Linked DNA regions of Tamandua tetradactyla. The protein of the gene in region 1 purifies or fractionates together with the protein of each later gene. This does not show direct contact. Links are inferred from orthologs where the notes say so. Each region holds a gene or a part of one and is shown in the gene's direction. Other genes may lie near its edges. The genes, in order: PSMG1, PSMA7 and POMP.

The links.
Region 2: the proteins of PSMG1 (region 1) and PSMA7 purify together in Homo sapiens (affinity purification with mass spectrometry; 3 studies listed by BioGRID and IntAct, with this or other methods). This does not show direct contact. The link is inferred for Tamandua tetradactyla from reciprocal best matches to the Homo sapiens genes PSMG1 and PSMA7.
Region 3: the proteins of PSMG1 (region 1) and POMP purify together in Homo sapiens (affinity purification with mass spectrometry; 4 studies listed by BioGRID and IntAct, with this or other methods). This does not show direct contact. The link is inferred for Tamandua tetradactyla from reciprocal best matches to the Homo sapiens genes PSMG1 and POMP.

Annotation. Positions count from the first base shown.
Region 1 is NC_135336.1:102,646,884-102,654,349, forward strand, and holds the start of PSMG1 (proteasome assembly chaperone 1), read left to right. Parts: upstream 1-4,414; 5' UTR 4,415-4,466; coding exon 4,467-4,600; intron 4,601-7,466. Other genes in the region: BRWD1 (bromodomain and WD repeat-containing protein 1), read left to right, coding at 547-938. UniProt on the Homo sapiens protein: Chaperone protein which promotes assembly of the 20S proteasome as part of a heterodimer with PSMG2.
Region 2 is NC_135327.1:59,722,420-59,729,464, reverse strand, and holds the start of PSMA7 (proteasome subunit alpha type-7), read left to right. Parts: upstream 1-4,014; 5' UTR 4,015-4,125; coding exon 4,126-4,221; intron 4,222-6,672; coding exon 6,673-6,799; intron 6,800-7,045. Other genes in the region: SS18L1 (calcium-responsive transactivator), read right to left, coding at 3,451-3,519.
Region 3 is NC_135330.1:193,920,243-193,927,240, forward strand, and holds the start of POMP (proteasome maturation protein), read left to right. Parts: upstream 1-3,984; 5' UTR 3,985-4,097; coding exon 4,098-4,100; exon of another isoform or gene 4,101-4,141; intron 4,142-6,577; coding exon 6,578-6,675; intron 6,676-6,998. UniProt on the Homo sapiens protein: Molecular chaperone essential for the assembly of standard proteasomes and immunoproteasomes. Degraded after completion of proteasome maturation. Mediates the association of 20S preproteasome with the endoplasmic reticulum.

The DNA of each region.
Region 1 (7,466 bases):
TGGAATTTAAACCTTAAAAAGGTTTCTTCTTGAAGAAATCTTCTTGAAGCCAGAGCTGTTGCTGTCATCAACACTCATCAAAATGCTGGCATTTTCTTCTTTAGGTTCTAGGAAAATTGTTTCAGAACTCCCAGTATTTTAAAGTTGCTTAACACGGTTAGAAATCGCCCCCAAATCTAAAACCTATATATGGTTCTATTACTTTTTAAAATTCAAATTTTTAATAGTGCTTTTAGATTACCTGCTTTAAGATGCTTAAGATACTTACATGTCTGCTACTGTTTGAGGTGACAGTTACCCTTACAGTTTAAAACGTAGGTTAGTTGGGAGGGACATCAAACAGCTTCTAACCCAGGGCTTGTTCTTATAGATAAGTAAATGGAATATTATTTCAGTGTCCCAAATGTGTAGTATCAATGATGATTGTCTAATTATGTTTTAACATTTATTGTTTAGGAATGTGAGTACTGTTGAGGAATGTAACTAGTAGTAACATCTTGTGTAACAAGATTTTTACATTTACATGAATTTTCACTCATTTTTCAGAATCTGTTCCTAGAGACAGAGAACCCAATACAAAAATGAGAACATGTATGCATAATCAGAAGGACGCAGTGCAAATGCCTAGTGAAACTCTGAAAGCAAAAATGGTACCTGAGAAAATTCCCCGCAGATGTGCTACTGTTGCTGCAAATAAAATAAAGATAATGAGTAATGTAAAAGAAACTATTTCAGGACCAGAAAATGTATGTATTAGGAAGAGTAGCAGAAAACTGCCCCATCGAAATGCTGCTGCTGTGGCTAAGAAAAAATTACTGAATGTTTATAAAGAGGATGATGCAAACATAAATTTTGAAAGTGAAAAAGAGCTAGAAGATATTAATAGCAAAATGCTTTTTTTAAGGCGGTTCAGATCCTGGAAAGAAAAAGCACAATAGTGACTGAAAATGTAGAAGTGGAATCTGAAAACAAACAGGGGCTACAAATATTAGCTGGCAGTTGCATTCTGCTTCTAGTTTTAAGTAAATCCCTTGCTGGTATCTTTTGAGGAATTTTCTAAAAGCCATAATTCAGTGGGTCAAAGTGGGAGAAAGGCTTCCTCCAGCCAGCCCTTTTATAGACTACTCCAGAGAATGCTAAGGAGGAAATAGAGTGTGGAGCCTGTAGTTGGAGAGGTGAAAAGTGGCCTTTAAGATTACCATTCCTTTCTAGAAATCAAGGGTCTTGGAGAAATCAATCTTGATTCCTTAGAGAAAGAAAATAATGGAAAAGTGTACAGAATATGTAGGAAAACACTTCAAGATGGAAAAAATATCTCAGCCTGATGCTAATTTTAAGGGATGTGCATTAGAATATGAAAATCCAGGTAACTAAGGTGTCATTGCTGAAATCAGAGAAAAAGAAAATTGAGAGGCACATTTTAACAGGAAATGCCATTGAGCCTATTTGCTTTTGAACGAAGCAAATACCTTAGCTAAACTCAGCCTGTAATCCACATCCCCAAAAGTCAGAAACAAGAACTTTAAACTAGAAGGGACCAATGGATTCAAAGATGAGGATGTTGATAATTGAGTGATAAAGTAGTGTTGGAAATAGGCAATTATAGAAAACCCATTAATGTCTTATTTTGTTTATAATATTGGAATTCATACTGAATGATGACCACTTGCTATGACTAATTCAGGGAATATATATTTTTCTATGAAAGCTATGAATGTGACTATCACAACTCTTTTCCTTATTTCTTTTTCCATGTTTTTAAAGAGATACCAAAATGTACCTCATTAAGAGGCAGGTCTTAATTTTAATCAAAAGTAAAAAGTAGAGATTAACACCAAAAAAGTAATATTTTAGATGATACAATGAAGCCCTATCATGTTTCTTTTTGGACATGTTAGCTTAGCACCTTAAAAGTCAAAACTTGAAAAAACTTGATCACAATCCCATTACAACAGACTTTCGTGACAGCATGTCTAGGCTATTTCATTGTGGCCTTCACAGGATTATCAAATCTGGTCATGATATTACAAAGAATTTCTCTGCAGTGAAGTTTAATTTGTTGTTAATAAGTGTTTGTTGAAATCAAGGTCGCCAAGTTAAATGAGTGTACTGTCAAATCTCAACATAGTAATATGCTATTGGAAAACTAAATTGTTAGGACCAAGTTGTTTTCCCATTTCAAAATATCTGTGAATATTAATATATGATTTGCATGTATAAATTTGAAAAAGTAAAATATAGAAACCTAGGAGTTTCTATTCCATTTTTATCAAAAAAAATGAATGCATATTTTTTGATTATACAGATGGACCAAGATTCTAGGTTACTTGAGAAATTTGTGGTTTCATGTGTGTTAAAAAAAAGTCTTTTTTCCTGTTAGCATAAACCAGCATATTTCTAACCCACAAAGTCTGTGTCCTTTGCTCTGTTTGCAGTATCCCTTCATCTGAAATACTTATACCAGTATCTTGTGAACATACAAATGAAGAAGGGAAGAATTGCTAATAAATTAAGTATTTTTGAGTGAATGGGGGGTTGGGTTTTGAGCTCTAATGAAAAGTATAAATTATTCCCATACTTATACTTAATTTCATAGAAAACTTTTATTGGGTATAGCATAATCTCAACAGATACCAACCATATAATGAAAATATTTGTCTATTTTACGCAAAACTTGAACAATGTCAGTGTTATAGAAGAATCTGAACTTTGAATTTATTATTTACCATGGCAAAATTAATTTATGTCAGTTTTTGAGATTGTATTCATAAGCCGCTTTTCATAGTGTATTTCTTTTTTAGTTTAATATTTAGTTTGTACATACATTTGCCTTTTTTAATGCTTGGCCTAAATTTGTTACTGCATGTAATAAGCATTTATTTAAAACAACATTCTTACAAGTATGTATGCAGAATTGAAATCAGGGCCAAATGTATTAACATTACCCTATTTACAATAATTTAAACCAGCTTTCCAGAAAATTTTTCTACATAATTTAATCGTGGAATCAAATTGGGGATTTTACTGGTAAAAACATGACAAATTATTTTTTCAACAAAAGGTCTAAAATGGAGTGAAGCCCACTCTTTATATTCTGCAATTCAATCATTCTATAAGCTCACCTAATCCAGGAATCCTAATGTGTTTTTTAAAATACTATATTGGTAATTCTGTATAGTCTATCTCACTAAGGATACCCAAACCTTCCTAAGCTCTTGCTGGATAACAATTTGGTTTTACTACTTTATACTTAAATGTTTAAATGTTGCTTCAAAACACAAACGTTTTTTTGAAATAGTTGTGCAAAATTGCTAAATACTGATTCTATGTAAACACTTTTGCTGATTATCATTTCTCAAAATCTTTAGTAGGCCAAGTTATTTCCATTTAGAACCGATGTTTCTATTAACTTTGAGCGTTTGTCATTAAACAAACAAACAAAAAAAAAGATGCTCACCCAGACCCCGAAGTAGTCGTAACTTGTGGCTATTTATTGACAAGGGGACAAAACGCAAACGATGCTGTCTGTTTTCAGCACAACTAAATCTAGGAACTATGCTAGTTCCTTTTTCTCCTGCTTGAAATAGTGCTCTGCAAACTTTGTTTTCCAGCACCTTTTAAGGAAGAGAGCCCAGTAAAAATCGTATTTAACATATTTTGCTCACTAATGAAAGGCTACTTAAAAGAAAAACTAATTTTATATTAGTTAGAAACGGCCAAGTTTAAAAAAGGAAGCAACTATTTTTGCACTCTTAAGAAAAAGTCTTTTAGGTCAGCTGAACAATCATCAGCTTTTGAAATGTGAATTCCTACCGCCAGAGTAAAGTTTCATTTTCATAACACCACGAAGCACTGTATTTTTTTTCTGCCCTTCCTCCGTTCTGTCCGCTGTGCCGTGCATGCTCCTCGCCGCCCACACAGGCGCAGGGCAGTACCTGACGGTCCGGGGCGCCGGGTGCCCGCCCCCGGTGGGCGTCCTCTTCCAGACCTTAGACCCCCGAGCCTCGGAACGATGGGCCAGCATTAAGCTGGGCGCGGCCTAGGTTCGGAGCCGGGTGCTTAATAATTTTAATTCACCTGTCTCACTCATGACCGAGAAGTAAACTGAAACGGGTTGGAGGAAAGGCGGGCCCCGTCCCTGAAATGTACAGCCTGGGGAAAGGGCGGCCCAGCGCCTCTGTTCCCCGAGTCCGCGACCTCCGAAAACAAAGAGGTCCCGTTCCACTCAGCCACGCGCCGGCCCGGCCCCCGCGGGCCCTGGCCCTGCGCTCGCCCTCAGCTCGTTTCGGGTAGTCCTCTCATTCCCCCGACTTCCCGCTGGGACCCGGCAGCCGGAGAAACAGCCTCGGGTTTCCGCCCTAGCGCGACCCGGAGGTCAAGTGTCGCGTGGGGCAGTGGGCGGGGCGCCGGGGCGCGTGCGCAGTCCCGTGGCGCCGCAGATGGGCGGGGCCGGCCGGTGACGGGCTATGGCGGCTACGTTCTTCGGGGAGGTAGTGAAGGCGCCGTGCCGAGCCGGAACGGAGGACGACGATGAGGAAGAGGAGAGGAGGAGGGAGTCGCCCGAGGACAGGGAGGTCCGGCAGCACCTGTCGCGGAAGAGGTGCGGTCCTGGGCTCGGGAATTCTCGGGGCAGCGCGCTGGGCCGGGCAGGCCGCGGGTGCCGGGTTTCCCCGCGTGCGGGAAGCGCGTTTAGTTCCCGCCCTGACCGAGCCTAGTGAGGGAGGGGCGCAAGGTCTTTGCAGGCAGAGACCTAGGTTGAAACTCCGGTTGTAGCCCCATGTGATCTGCGATCCTGCACCTGGTGCGAGCCTGGGTTGTTGAGGCGATGTTTGCCAGGAGCCCGCGGGGCGGCCTCCAGGTTCCGTTGCCTTTGCTGTATGTAGCCCACGTTGTCATGCCCCACGCATAGGGGAGGGTAGCGATTTTCCTTGCAGTATTGGGCTTAGAGAGAGAGAGCGAGAGAGGACACGTCTGAGCAACAAAAGAGGTTTCCTGGAAAGAACTCTTAGGCCTCCTACAGAAATAAGTTTCATAAGGGCAAGTCTCAAAACCAAGGATTTGTCCTATTTTCTTGGGAGTCCCCAGTAGTTGAGAGGGTACCTGGGGTTTTTCCAAATGGGATAGTTCAATAGTTAACCTATGGAAAATATGTATGTGTGTATGTATGTTTGTATGTATGTATGTATGTATGTATGTATGTATGTATTTTCCCCTTTGGACCATCAAGGGACTCTACCAGTAATCTTTATCAGTCCACCATAGTCTGAAATGTATCCAGTTATTATATTATATTAAGCTATACAGAATTACAAGGCTTTGTTCCTGTTCAGGAGTTTGGGTTGTTTAAATGAGCTGTCTAGACAGGTTGATTTAGATTGTGTATTACAGGAAATTTAGGTTCTAGACGTAATAAACCTCTCTGCCTTTGGTCTCATACATTAGATGGAAGCCTAGCGTACATATGCTGTTATCTGTTACCCTGCATTCTAATTTACCTTAGACCCAGCCAGATCGGCTTCCTTGTAAACTCTAATTGAGGCCTGATATCTTTTTCAGTTACTTTAGCTGTATTGCATATAGCCATGCTGACTCTCAGAGCTGTAGCACTCCATTTCTGGGTCTTAGATATCACCAAGTTACTCGTAGATCCAGGGAACTACCTGCTGGTACACACATAACTCAGTGTCTCAGAATCTAGAAATACATCTACAACTTCAGACTAAGTGTGTCTGCTATAAGGGCTTACAGTCTAGGCTACCATTTTTTTATAAGTATTTTCTGAGAGAGATCTTAGCATATTTCTTCTTTTGTTTCTGGCTTATTTTGGACAACATATTGTCCCCAACATTTATTGAGTTCATTGCGTGCCTCTCAACAGCCTTCCTTTTTGTAGCTGCATCATAGTCCACCATATAAATGACCATCATTCGCCATTGTGCTTTTCTGTCATTGTATCCTTTGTGTTGGGCATTATAGATAATGTCCACAGTGAACAGCCATGTCTCACAGTATCCTCGCTTGGTTGTACAATCAGCAGCACTCTCAATTTTCGACAGTTTTCAATGGTTCATATAGCAAAGAACCAGCAAACACAATGCCACCAACTATCAAATCAAAACTACCCCTTATCACTTGTCTCTGCCCCCCAATTAATTGCCCCATTAGTGTTGTGGTACTGTTCTGTTAACTATTGGCCATAGTATGCATTTTTAGTTTTCCCCCATATCCCTCTACTAACTTTGTTCACTGCCGAACCACCAAAATAGTTCATGCAAGAACTTATTTATAATTGTAGATTTAATCACATGGCACTATACATCCCCTTTCAATCATATTCACCTTCAGTATGGCAGTGTTGCTTAGAACCCCACCAGTTAGGTACCATCACTTCAATCCATTCCCTTGCATTTAGATTCAGTTTCTTTGGGTAGCCTCTCCTCTGTCTCTAGCTTTTGTGTACCTCTAGATCTGCTATAAATTCTACAGTGTAACCTCTGAGATTACCTTTACCAGATTCATGATGGCAAACGCATCCAGTATGCTTTTGTGTGTGGCTTATTTCACTCAGTATTATGTCCTCAAGGTCCATCCATATGGTCATATGCTGTAGACCTCATGTTGTTTTACTGCTGCTTAATAGTCCATCATATGTATATACCACATTTTGTTTTGTTTATTCACTTGTCTGTTAATGGGCACTTGGATTGCATCCATTTTTTGGTGATTGTGAATAATGCTGCTATGAACATAGTTGTGCAAATGTCTGTTCATGTCACTGACCTCAGTTCTTCTGGATATGTACTGAGTATTGGTATTGCTGGGTCATAGGTTAACTCAATATTTATTTTTTATGAGGACTCACCAAACTGTCTTCCACAACGGCTGTGCCATTATACGTTCCTACCAATGGTGAATAGGTGTTTCGATTTCTCCACATCTTTCCAACAGTTGTAGTTTTCTGTTTAATAGCAGCTATTCTCAGAGGTAGGAGGTGATATCTCATTGTCTTAATTTGCATTACCCTTTTAGCTAATGAAATGATCATCTCTTCATCTGTATTTGCTCTTCAGAAAATGTCTATTCATATCTCTGCCCATTTTATAATTGGATTGTTTGTTCTGTTGTTGAGCCAGGATATCAAGCCTTTATCCAATGTGTAGTTTCCAAATATTTTCTCCCATTGAGTTGGCTGCCTCTTCACCTTTTTTGACACAGTTCTTTGAGGCACAGAAGCTCTTGATCTTAAGGAATTCCCATTTGTCTGTGTATTCTTTTACTTCCTGTGCTTTAGGTGTAAAATTTAAGAAGGTACCTCCTATTACTAGATCTTGAAGATGTTAGCAGTATGTTTTTGATAGCATCTAATAGTCCATGGTCCAGTTTAGATAGTTGTCTCAAATATGACATATTACAGTGGGTTTGTGTGAATCAGATTCCTAACAGGAAGCACACATGACATTTAGAGG
Region 2 (7,045 bases), on another chromosome or scaffold:
TCTGCCTCCAGGTTCCACAAAGAGCTACCAGACAGAAGACAAACGGACACACAGAGGGCTGGGTGGGTAAGGGTCGGAGCCAGCAGCTTTGGAAAGAAGGGAGACAAGATGGGGAACGGCATCTTTATCCGAATGCATCAAGGGGCTCCCAAGGATCTGGGTAACCGGCCAGAGTATCTGCTTTGGAAGAGCCCCAGCAGGACACGTTGCCAGGTTTTTTGGGCAGGAGGGAACAGAGGCCTGGCTGTGGCTGTTCCCTCCTGGAGAACACCCTTCCCACCACAGCCCCACATGCACAAGCTGTAGTCAGAGCCTCTGCAGAGCTGAGGTTCAAGTGCAATCGATGGCTGTGACAAGCAGACCCCTGACTGTGTGGCATTTCACAGCACAGCAAGACCAGAGAAGCCACCTAGGGCAGTCCAGCCCCACGGCACCTGGAACCATAGGTGGCTGTGCTTCCCTTCCCCAGGAGGGCCTCGGCTTACTGGGGATCAAGCGCGTCAGTAATAACCACCTAAGAACTATCAATTAGCCACGTTAATAGGAGGCCGCACAGCGCGGAGAGTCCCTCGGACCATTTACAGTTGCCAAAAACAGCTCTAATGTCATAAACAGTTAATTTATCTTCCTAACAAATTAGCCCACGTTCTTTAAGACAGCAGACTCCTGGTCTAGAGAGCACAAGGTACCAACCACTGTGCAGACACGCACCCCGTGCCTAGACACATCCACCCATCACTTACTTACCCATCCCTTGGCCAGATGGCCATCTCTTACCCTTGCATCCCTCACCGGGAATGGGAGCCATTGGAGCAGGGCTAGTCTGAGTTCAACCACTCCCCGACTGGGCTCCCAGGCCCCAGGCCTCTCCAGCTTCACATCCCTCTACCAGGCCCATACCACAAGTTGGCCCAGCTCATCAGCTCTGCCCTGTTCTCCAGAGAGCTGCTGCTCTGTATCTCCCCACTGCACCATGAACAGTAATGATAACTTACACTGAGAAGTTCCCGTGTGCCTGGGGGCAGGAAGCACCTTGCAAACCCAATGAGATCCAGGCCCCCTCCCCTCCAGGTACCCAAGCCTTTTCACAACCCCACATAACCATGGCATCAGGGGCCTCAGAGCAGGGATACTTGGGTTCTGAGTTGGTGGAAAGCAAAGGAGGGCAGGTCTTGGCCAGGGAGTCAGTCACTCAGGTACAGGGGACAGTGGAGTGTCCCTGGAAAGTGGGGTCCTCTGTGATTTGGTGTTTCTCATCAAAGTGCACTGCATCTCACTCCTGTACTTAACCACGTGCTTGGCCGCATATGGGGCCACACAAGACTCCCTCAAACTTCTAGACCTCCCATGTCTGCTCCTTTGGTTATTCTCATCTGGAATACCTTCCCCTCCACATGTCCATCAATCCCCAAATACTCCCACTGGCAGAACCACAGTCAGAGATTCTGTATATTCTGACATTGACTGTCCAAGTGCCAGGCCAGGCTGGGAGTACAGCAAAGAATAACTCAGTAAACTTGCCTGGGAGCCTAAGCAAGGTGTGAAAGACCTATATTGACCACATACACTGACATACGACTGAGGGGATATGTGAGTGGGGCTTTGAAGATTGAGTAGAAGTTTGCCCAGAAGAATTCTTTCTCAGATAAGCTCTAAGAACAAGTTGTATTTCCCTGCCTCTTTATCATCACACAGGTTTCTGAGGAACCCCTGGCTTTTCCCAACACCCTTGGGATGAGTTTCTAGCACATGCTGTGTACACAGCACACATCAGTATATACTATGCACCTGCCACATGCCCCCAATAAAAGACCTGAGTACATATATTTACTGTCAAAATGCCAAGGTGTGAGGATATAGACTGCTGGCCCTACCAGGTAAGGCCTGCTGGAAGCCCGAACTGAAGACCCATTTTCAACAAGTAGCAGGCTATCTCTGCCCTGGGATGCAGGGTCAGCAGGTTTTCCTTCCTTCTGATCAAACCACATTTAGGGATAGCTGCATAATGCACTCCTGCCTAGAAATTTTGGAGAGCTTTAGTGCTGGCTTGGCAACGTGCAAATAATTGGGTGATTGTGAGCCCAAGGTGGCTTCAGGAATAAGGATCAAGCTCATCACACTTAAGGCCCAAGCAAGGGCCCCTGGTCTGCTAGCAGGGCCTTGAGGCCAGTGCCTGACCCTCTGCCAGACACATTGTCACTGTCAGAGCAGACCTTGGAACCAACTCCCAGCTCCACTTAACCTCTCTCTGCCTCAGATTCCTCATCTATAAATTGGGGTAACAGCGACTACCCCCCTCTGCAAATTAAATGAGTTAAGATTGACCACTCTTATGACAATAACTGGGTACACAATTTAACTAAACCCAATTCTCTGCTGCTGCTCCAGTCAGCTGTTTCTTGTTCAGAGTGGGTTGAGACTCTTTATTAAAACCATTAAGGGCCATGGGACAGTGGCTCAAGGGCAGAATTCTCACCTGTCACGCTGGAGACCCGGGTTCGATTCCCGGTGCCTACCCAGGTCAAAAAAAAAAAAAAGAGGAAAACCATTAAACACCAGCACCAACCAGAGCAAGGTGAACCCTAGCAGGTGACAGGTTAAGGACAATTTCCTCAAAGGACTGGGCAGATCGTCCAGGGAAGACAGAGCCACAGTGTGGAAAAGAAGTCAGCGAAGCTACCCAAGACGTTAGGAAAATTCAGGAATGCTCAACGGTGGTTTTCCGCTAAACCTGCCTTCTAAAGAGAAATGGTAGGACATGCAACGTTTCACCGTCAAAACTGAAGGTTTCTGTTGACAAAGTGCTGGTGAAAGGTGTCCCCCAATGCAGGTGATGCTAGCTCCAGAAACCACATTACCAAACTCAGAGAGAAGGGAAACGATGCGAAGCAGATCTGAACATTTCTGTGGCGAGAGTGGCTGCTGGCCCGGGTGTCGCGCTGAAAATCAGCCCGACCTGCGACGAAGAGCCGGCGACTCGCGGGTCAGCCATCGAGCCCCTGGGGCGGCCCGGCCTCACGGGGGACCCACCCCTGGGTGATCCAAGGGTCGGCACCTGGAGGAGGCGGGCGGGGCGCGACCACCCGGGGTTGTCCCCGCCCTGCCCGCTGAGGTGTGCGCCGCGGAGAGTGGCGCCCGCCGCCGTCCTCGCCATCCAGGCTGGCAGCGTAACTAGACGAGCCCGCGCCCCGGGGCCCCGAGGGGCGGCGGGGAACCCACAGCCTCTCACCCAACCCAGGCATCCCCCGCCGGTCGCTCGGGCCCCTGCCACTCGGACAGCCCCCAACAAAGTTGGCCCGGGCTCGGCGCGCGCGGCTCCGGAAGCGCCCCTGAGGGCACGGCTCGGTGCCCCCGGCGGCCCGGCTGCACACCGCGCTTTGTTCCCGCCGCCCTCCCGCGTCCCGGCACTCGTGCGCACTCGCCAGCACCTGCGGGGCGCCCCACGCCCACCTTCTGGATGGTCTGCTGTGTGACCTCCCCTTTCCCCCTCGGCCGGGCGGACGCGAAAGCCACGGACATGTCGACGGCGCGGGGCTCAGGCCTTAATCATGAGGGGCTTATTCTCCGGCTGCGCTCCGCGGCCGAGGGCTCTCATTCTCCGCAGTCGGTGGGGGGGCGGAGGGGAGGGCGCGGGGGGTGCCGCATCGTGGGCTCGCCCACCCCGACGCCGCCTCCGCACCCTCCGGCCCTCCGGCCCGCGGGCCCTCGCGCCGGCTACGGCAGAGCCCGAGCCCCGCGGTGCGATCCCCAACAACAGCCCAGCACGCCTCGCCCCCACCACCGTCACTGACTGCCCCACCCCCGGCCGGGCCGCAGTGGTTTGTTCCGACCCCGGCGCGGGAGCGCGCCGCACGCCGCCTTACGCCAGCAGCGTAGGGTGCCGGCCGTGTAAAGCAGCGTACGGCGCCAGTAGCGTAAGGTGCCAGCCGCGTACAGCACTAGCAGCGTAAGACGCGAGCAGCGTAGGGCGCCCCCAGCGTAGAGCAGCGTAGGCCGCGAGGGGGCCGGCGGCGGCGGCGGCGCAGTGGCGTCGGGAATCGCGCGGTGCGCAGCGATGAGTGTGCGCTTTTGAGGCGGTGGCGGCCACAGCTCTCCGTCAGCCAGGCTGCGGCCGCGCCTCCGGCCATGAGCTACGACCGCGCCATCACCGTCTTCTCGCCCGACGGCCACCTCTTCCAAGTGGAGTACGCTCAGGAAGCCGTCAAGAAGGGCTCGACCGCGGTGAGGCGGCACCCGGCGGGGTTGGCGGGAGCCCGGGTCCGGGCCTTGCGCGAGGCCGGGGATCCGGGCGGAAGTGGAGCTGGCTGGCCGGCGGCGGGGAGGGCCGGGCTGCCCCTGGGTCGTCGTCGGGAAGGTGCGCGCCCCGGAACAAGCAGGGAGGCCGGGGGACCTGGGGTCATGCCCGGGGGTGGGCGCCCTGGACCCCGCCGCCAGGGCTGCTGTGTTCCCGCGCGTTTCCGTGCTGTGGCCCGCGGTTCCGTGTTGCCGTTTGCGGCGCAGTGTCTCGGAGCCCAGGCTTGGGGCGCCGGCTGCGCGTGTCCGAGCAGGACCTGTGGTAGTGCCGGGGGCGCGGGCGAGCGGCCCAGCCCCGAGCCGCCTTCCCCCTGGCCGCAGAGCGTGTGTTCTCAGTGGGCCCCGGCATGCGTCGCTCGAGTCGCTCTGTCGACCGCCTCGCCTTCGCCTAGGGAGCAGCCTCTTGGTAAATTGCCTCTTAAAGTCAGCGCAGTGACATCAGCGGAGCGCCCGGGGAAGGCACGGCGGCGTCGGTGTCCTTAGACAAACTGGGGAAGTCCTCGTGACCTGCTGTCCCGCTGGGGAAGTGTCGGTGTCGCTTTCTTCTGTTTGCACAGAAAAGCAGAACACGCGCACTGTGTGGGGCCGTTTATTCCCTATAGTTTGGGCTTGGGGCGGCAAGGTGGGCCGTTGAATTTTAATTTGAAGGTCATAAACTGTAGATGTTTACTAGTGGTTTTCAGAAACCGCAGAGGTCCCCGAGAGAAGTGCAGGATTCAAAGTCACTCTCGTCTCTCTTTAGCATCTTTGGTTGTCAGGGTGCACTGTCCCTAGCGCGGCGAGGTGACGCGGTGACGGCCATCTTGGGCCTTCACCTTTGCACTCTGCAGGCCGAGGGAACCTGGGGTGCAGGGATGGTATGTGTGGGTGCTGATGCACGGCGGAGCAACAAGAGAGCTGGGGAGTGTTACAGGTCTTTCCCCACCCGGGGGAAAGGAGAGGGAGGCAGTGGTCCTCATAGGTGGCAGGGCAGGCTGTCCTGGGTCCGAGGCTCAGCAGTGATCCAACCCCTTGTCACTTCATATCTGAGCAGGTACCTCTTGCCAGAACTATCGCGCATGTTGGGTACCCTTGGTGTTGCTGTTTGCAGTTTACACCCATGGTGTCTTTGAGATAGTTGTCTGTTTTCTCATTGGTCAGATTGCATGATAGATTTTTTTTTTTTAATCACCTGGTATTTGAGGGGTTTCAGTGGGTCAAGCAAAGCCACAGCTGGCTGCTGGGGCAGCAAGGGGAGTGGGGATGGGGGGCGGGACAGCCGACTCCTCTCCCAGTGCTGTATAAGTTGAGTTAGGCCAGCAGATAGACCTGGAGCCTGAGTTTCAAGACAACCAAAAATTCAAGAAATGAAAACACTTCAAAAATTCACAGAACTATGTGTGAAAGCTGTGGCTTTGCTTAACCCACCGAGCTCTCTGGGCCTGGGCTTCTTTCCCTCACCATTACTTTGAAGATCATGTAAGACAGAACAAGAGAAAGCCCTTGGAAACTCAAACACATTTTCAGTCAGTGGCGATTTAGGCAGAGGTTATTTGGCAGCGTTTGGAGACGTTTTTGGTGGTCAGGTCTCAGGAGGGGGGTGCTCCTGACATCTTGTGGGTGGCAGCCAGGGGTGCTGCTAGACATCCCACAGTGCCCAGGACGCCCCACAACTGAGAATTACATGCCCTAAAATGCCCATCCTGCAGAGGCTGAGAGACCATGCTCCATGCTCTGAAGTAAGAGGGGATTTTACTTCTCCAACTGTGCCATACATGTCTGTTCCTGTCTTGACTGGAGGGGTTAACTGGCCATCGGTGTTTTTTTGTTTTTTTAATAATGGCCACACCAATTGTCTCCTCTAAAGTGTCAGCTGTGAAAGGGGAGAGTTTGACCTCCCAGTAAATGCTGATACAGTCATCCCTCCATGAAAAGCGGCCCCTCACACAGCTGTGTGCCTTGGCTATTCAGGCACAGAAAAGAGGGGTGGGGGAATAACTCCACAGCTCCAGAAAACACCGCTTCCAGAATACCTGGCTTGAATATCTGGGTCTGGGGCTTAAAGGCCCTCTGCTTTGCTGGTTCATTAGTGTGAAATGATACAGGGTTACAGATTATATGGTGCTTAGTTAGTTATGCTGCCATTGGAACTACATAATGGTCTTTTAAAGGCACAGACAGCATCAGGCACTTTAGGTCAGGATACCTGTGCTGGTTCCACCAGTGACATTTGGGGTGTAATGTCAGCCAATGGAGGAGGGAGGTGCTCCCCCACCTTCTGGGGCTGCTTTCCCCAGGATGTCTGTGATCTATGTTAATGTCTTCTGCTCTTAGTGTTTCTTTGTGTAGGGGCAGAGCCTTATGTTGCTTTCTTAAGTGGTGTGTTGGCTCTCATTGAAGGTTGGTGTTCGAGGAAAAGATATCGTTGTTCTTGGTGTGGAGAAGAAATCAGTGGCCAAACTGCAGGATGAGAGAACGGTGCGGAAGATCTGTGCGCTAGATGACAACGTCTGCATGGCATTTGCAGGTATGTGTCTGGGAACAGTATTCTGCTTCTTAGAGTCCTAGCACAGAGCAGAGCAGTGGAGTCCAGCTTGGGTGGATGGGTTATTACAAGACGGGGGAAGCTGAAAACATTTAAAAGAAATTATTTGGAGGGTACACGGATGGTTACGTGGAAGAATGCTCACTTTCCATGCAGGAGACTTGGGTTCAATTCCTGGACCAGGCATCCCCACTGCCTCCCCCCCGGCCCTGAATAAAAAAGAAAAGA
Region 3 (6,998 bases), on another chromosome or scaffold:
TTCTCGCTCGCCTTCCCCCCCCCCCAACAGAAGTTTATTTAGGGGAAGGAAGGAAGGTGGGAAAGAATAGGACATGGTTGGGAACAACAGTTACATGAGTAGGATTTTTGTCATTATGATAAATTTCTTATTTAAACTTGCTAACTGTCCAACTGCCAAAAAGGAAAAAGGAATTTCCAAAAATGTACAAATTCTTTTAGAGATGTTTCAGAACAAAAGACTAATTTACATGAAAAACTGTAGAGAAAGTAGTTGAAAAGTCCATTCATAAAGCTTTTATTCTCTTTACATCAATACATGTGTTTTAACAATTATGCTTGGATTGACCAACAGCTTTTGCAAAGGAACTCAGCTACCTCCATTGTATTATCATTAACAAATTTTTCACTTCCTAGCAATCTGTTTTCTGCTCTCACCATTTTACTTCAGTTGCTCACCAGAGTATCATACACATGACATCCCCCTTGCCTAAGGCCATAGATTTTCTCTTAATTTCAAATTAAATACTTGCCATCATTGGTCATTCCTTTATCTTAATATTATACTTTCCTCGGCTGTAAGACAGATTCCTACCTCTTTTCTCCAAGCCTCTTTTACCTTGTCCCAGGTTCTAAGAGACACTTCTATATTAGACTTCAACATCTCTCTGTGTGTGCTGCCTGCAGGGCGCAGGGCACTGTGTCGTCCAAGCCAGCTTTAGAGGCTTGCACGCCCGGGGCCTGAGCTCAAGCAAAGGGCTGTGGTCTTGGGTGCAAGTGGCCAAAAGAGCCAAAAGTTAAGTGTAATTCCAAGTCTTTAGAGAGCACTAAAGGGCTGAGTGAAGAAACATAACTCAGGGACATGACTGAGGTGCACGAGTAGGATGCCAACAGGAGAGAGCAGAAAGAAACTAGGGAGAGTTAGAAGACGGGAGGAGGGTTTTTGCCAGCTGTGAAGGAAGCTGAGGTTTCCTTGGTTTGCCTATATGGGTCATCAGACTGGCTTAAGAATAAAGTCAGAGTAGGTAAGTAAAACAAAAAAGGGTACTTGCTCTCAAGCAATGCACACAAAGCTTGTTTCTTCTATACAACGTTGAATAACGGTAATGCTTCTCTGTGATGGTTAGTTTTGTGCGTCAACTTGGCTCGGTAAAGTTCCCAGTTATTCAAACACTGCTCAGGGTGTTTTTGTGAGGAATGTCGTAGATGTGCTTAGCATCTACGATCAGTTGACTTGAAGATTATTCTCTATAACGTGTGTGGGCCTCGTCCAGTCAGGTGAAACGCCTTAAAAGCACAATGAAGTTTCTCTGAAGGAGAAATCCCATCCCATAATTGCAGCGTTGACTTTTGCCCAAAGCTTCCAGGCTGCCGGCCTGCCCTACAGATTTCAGACTTGCCAGCCCCCAGGATGGCATGAACCACTTCTTTGAAATAAATCTCTTAATGTATCTATCTATCTATCTGTCTGTCTGTCCTGCAGATTCTGTCTTCTGGAGAACCCTGATGGGTACACTAGCTCATGGGGCAATTGGGGCCCAAGTGAAATGTGGTATGTAAATAACTAAGCACAGGGCCAGACACAGAACAGACATCAGCTATCGCTATTATTTAATTCCCCAAACTATGCAACAGCTAAAGCTTAAACACGGATACTAAACCATCCTAATATCAAATCCAATTCCCCTAGCTATTTAGTATACTCAGAACTGCCTTGCATTAGTTAATGCTAAAACAGACCTCTTTAAATAGGATGGGAATGTAGGACGTGCACTGCTCAAAGCAACTGTTTGTCCCTGCTGCTCTGGTCAACTGCCTTCATATTGGTCATCAAAGGCCTATTTTCAGGACTTACAAGCTCTTTTTGTGGTTGTCATTCAAATTTTACAGTGTCTTTTCTTCCTCATTTATTCATGACCTCCTTTTGACTACTTTTTAACTGCTTTCTAACTTCTCAAAACATTTTCCCTCTTTGGATTCTAAGATATCACTTTGGTTTGGCTTTTCCTTTCACTTCTCCCTACCTCTTCTTGGTCTCTTTGGAAGACCCTTTGAATTCTAGTATTTCTCAGGTTTATTCCTGTTTTTCACCTCAACTCAAAGCTTTTCCAATACCCTACTCTACCTTAATTTACTTCCATTATTTCTTGATCAGTCTATTATCAACAGCCTATAAAATGATCTGGTTCCTAGTTTCTCCCAATCCTAGTCTATCCCTCATGCTGCTTCCAGGATAATTTTTAAAATACATATTTTAAAATATGTGTAAATAAATATATATACAAATTTATATATATATGAAGTATTTGTGACTAGAATTCCATTATCTCCTGTTGCCCACAGGAGAAAAATCTAAATCCTCAGCATTCCATACAAGGCCCTTCATTTTGACCCAATCAATCTCTCCAACCTCATCTTTCTCCCTTCTACTCACCCAGAACTCCAACCACATGGAAATGTACTCCATTGCTTGGGTCACAATATGCCCTTTCACAAGTAACCTGCATTTTCATGTTTACTCTTCTTGCCATTTTCTCCTGTTTCCAACCAACTTTCCCCCCCAACCACTTTCTGAGCAAGCTCCCTTGTGTATGGCAGAATTTATCATATACCATCTTAAACATATTTACATTATCTATTCCCCCTGGAAAATTTAAGCACCTGAAATTTAGGGAAATGCCTTTTTCTCTTCTATAGCTCCAAAAATCTAGCACCAAACAAGTGTGCACAGATACTTACTGAATTGTGAGAAATCAAGTATTAAATGAATTTTTTTTAAGTTGCAATTTAAAAACTTCTCCTTAGGTGGACTAGATTGATAGGAAAAAGTTAAAACGAAACACTCAAGAGCAAATCTCAAGGTAAACAAGGATATCTTGAAGAGACAGAAGACACATAAGGAAGGTAAATGTGGACTACCCTATACTTTCAAGGTTGTATGACCATGGCAGTGGATATACATAATAAATATAATCTTATCACCGCTATTCATTCCCCTCCTTAAACTCTTTCAATGGCTTTTTTGAAGATAAAGCCTCATTCTACCAGGCCTCATCTCAGGTCACTCTCTACCTGAACTTTAGCCACACAGGTCTTCTTTTCCATCTCAGAGTTTTTGCACAAGTCGATCTTCCAGCAATATTCTTTCATACACCTTTCTACCTCAAACTAGCTTGTTCTCATCCTTAAGAATAAGGATTCTTTAAGTTACCTTCATTACATGCTGGCAGTGTACAAGGAGGAGTTATCACACCACATTTTGGAGATAATACAGTAGTGACTCACACCGCAGAACAGAGACTTGGGCTGGGTTCCTGGACATATATATTTAACCTCTTTATGGGTTGGTTTCCTCACCTGAAGAATTAAGATGTTGAAAAGATTATAGCAGATAATTCAGGGAAAGCAATTACAACTGTGCTAGGTCTGTACTAAGAGTCCAATATATGTCAGCAGTTTTCACATTTAAATGCTTGAACTGTCACTTCTCCCCCTAGAGTTCGTCTGCACCTCTGGCCCAGAGTACACTTCAGTCTGATTCATTTCTGTACTTCTAGCTTCAGCACAGGATCCTGACACTAGGGGGTTTTCGGTATACAATGATTAAAAATAAAACCTGTCAAAAGACTTGGGTCTCACTTCTGCTTTAACAGCTGACCGATGTTAAGCAAGTCACTCAACACACCCAAGACTGGATTACCCTTGGGTAAAACGAGAACTGCCGCGTCTCCCCTGGCGGGGCTCTGCCTTTACGGGTCTACAGCAGCAGAGCGCATCTGTAAACGCTGTAGCTTCGGTACATGTTTATCACCAACAGAGCTCAGGGCCGCGTTTACCCCCCGCCACCCCGCTTCGGCACGTCCCGTCCCAGCCCACCCCACCCCGCCCCGCCCTCAGCCCACAACCTCCCGGCGCCCTCGGCGCTGGTCCCTGGGGACCGCAGGCGTGGGAGCCCCGGCCGCGTGCCATTCCCTCCCGGCGCCCGCGCCCCGCTTCGTACCTCGCCCGGAAGGACGCACTTCCGGCGGATGTGAGGGGGGCGGGCCACGGAAACGGAAGTGAGCGGCGGGCCGGCTGACGGTAACGGGGCCGAGAGGCGGTGTGAACAGCGGGTTAAAGATGGTGAGTGGGCCCGCTGCTGCCCTGGCTCCTGGCGGCGTGGGGTTCAGGCCCCGCAGGATCCCGCGGCCGCCTCCCAGCCCGTCCCGCGCGGTGGTGGGGGGATGGGGCAGGCCTCGGGCGCCATAATCTGCCGAGTCACGGCGTTGGGGGAGGCCCGGGCGGCCCACGAGCTGGTCCCGCGAGCGGCGGGGTTCGGCTTTATGCCCTTCCCTCGCGCCTTCTCCCGGTCGCGCCTGCCGCGCTTCAGTTCCTCCAGCAGAAGCCGGCCACTTCCCCTTAGGTGGAAAGGGCGAGGCCGAAAGTGCAACAGCTTACCGGGGGTGACGTCGCTGACCACCCTTTCCCTGAGGGGATAACCTATGGGAGCCCTGAGACCTCAGACTCCCAACCCAGCCTTGGGCCCCTGCCCTGCAGCCGGAGTGGGAGGCAAAGGGCTTTGGTGTGATGAGCGTTTCGGAACTGCCTTGATAAATAACTGCACAACTGTAGGCCGCATTTGTGTAACTTCAGCTGCACATTTGTGAGGGCTTAGAGGATACCATCCGTGGTTCTTCCTGTTGAGAAGAAAAATCAAACAGTTGCTTCCCTCCCTTTGTCAGTGTCGTTAGTGCATCGCTCTCTTTAAACGGAAAACAAGGAGAAACTGAGAGACTTGACAGTTGTGACCTTTGGAAAAGACTCTTGAATTACCACTGCCACTGACTAATGTCAGTACTGTTGGGCCATCCAAATCTAGAACGCTTTTGTTAGTAAATGGTAATCGTTTTAAAGAAGTCTCAAATTGTGATTGATGGTACATAAATTTTCATACATTTGTTCTTTGCTAGTTTATTAGAAACAGCAGTACTGATATTTTATGGAAGGAAAATTGGAATAATGATAAGGTTAGAACCCAGAGACCAGAATTCCACTTTTCCTCTGTTATTTTACAATAAAGTGGTGTAGCAGGAAGAGAATGTTTATATAGGGAAGTAACAGATGCTTTGGGAAAGGTACAAACAGTTCTAGTCCTGAAGATGTTCACCTACGTGGTACTGATAAGTAAGTAAACGGTCCATTGAGATCATTTGAATTGCTTGCAGTCATTAGTATAGCCCACATTAGACTGCAGGCTAGATTTTTTTCCCCCTGATCCACCATGACTTCTTTGAAAGTTGAAATCTGTGAAGGTCCTTGAGTTGCAGGCTGAGGACTGTTCTTAAAGGCTTAATTCTTCAGACCAGACATTGAGCCAAGTACTGGTTTGGTATAGGGGAGGTTGTGTTTTAGGAAACCTTGATACATGGAAAGACCGAAGAAGCTAGAGGCGGCAAGACCCAGAAGCATGCTGTTGGAGTTACCCGAGTGTGAGACTCAAGTGGTAGATTGAGGAAACCTGAGACAGAATGAAGTGCCTGACCAAATACATATGCTAGTTAGTGGAGAAAACCCGTTTAAGCAAGCTGAGTTCTTTAAAATAGTGTAAGACTAAACCAATTATCTGCAGCTGTTTTACATTATTCTTCAGAATTGCCAGGTGTATTGCACTTGAACGAGTAATTTAAAGTCAACATTTGTACTTTACTTGTTCTAACACTTAATCACATTTTATTTGCTTATTTAATGTATCTCCGTTAGGCTAAACCCTAGGAGATAGACTTGTATTTTCTGCACCTAGCATAATACTTGACACATAATGGTAGAGGCATAATAAATACTTTTTAATGAAAGTTTCACACTATGAATGCACAGGATGACAAGACATCAGTACCAAATGCACTGTGAGTCTTTTGCTTTTTTTTTTGTTTGTTTTATACTTTTATCCTGATTAGATATATATATATATTTTTTATAGGTGGTACCCTCCTCTTCTAGAAACCAAATTTTCTGAAATTCTTTGTTAGCTTCTGTCACCACTTTCTTTTAGCTATTGTCCATTGTTAAGCCATTTCACTGTTCTCCTTCCTTGTCCCTAAGGAGTGGTTTTCCTCAACTTTCTTCATTCTGTGCTAATCATTCTCCATAGACAACCTAGGGAAGAAATCTTTCTGAAGAAAGCAAATTTGATCATGCCATAACCCTTCAGAGGTGCTCTTTCAACTTCAGAATAAAACTCAATTTCTTTGCATGTAAGCTTTTCACTTTCTAACCTTTACTTCTGCTTCTTTCATACATGTGTTTAGTCAGTCATTTCAGACTACTTGTAGGTTATTCATTTGTTTTCATATCTTTGTATATGTTCTTTCTTTTTTCCTGCTTCAGAGATTATCCCAAGACCTTTTCCCAACTCCATCCCCACCCCAAAACTTGGTATAATATTGTATCCCTCTAGTGTAATACTTAAGGCGTATCATTTTCCAGACTGTTTGAGAGCGGAGGCCCTGTCATTTCTCTCTCTCCAGTGTTCAGTTTTTTTTACATAAGTATTATGTGTGCGGTTTGTTTTTGTTTTTGTTTTTAATTAGTGAATGGTTTAATGGTGTTTCTTTGTGTTGTAGAATGCCAGAGGACTTGGATCTCAGCTAAAGGACAGTATTCCAGTTACTGAACTTTCAGCAAGTGGCCCTTTTGAAAGTCAAGATCTTCTTCGGAAAGGGTAAATGGGAGTTTTGACATTTACTTTGTTGGTAGTAAAATGTTTTTGTGAATTATTTTTTACAGTATTCTTTAAATATTTTGATATGCCATAAGTGTATATTTAATTTGGGAGATATTAAGTAATATACCTTGGCTCTGGGGCGGGGCTGTTGGGGAAGAGTCTTAGATCTGTAGTGCAAGAAGCATCTTAACAGAGTTGTGGTTAGGAACCCTCTTAGGTTAAGTACCCGGTAGTGTGATTTGGCGGGGTTCTTGTTTTGGTAACTGATAACTTGGAGAGCCAACTACTTCCTTCTTGCAGGAAGGATTGCAGCAAGTTCT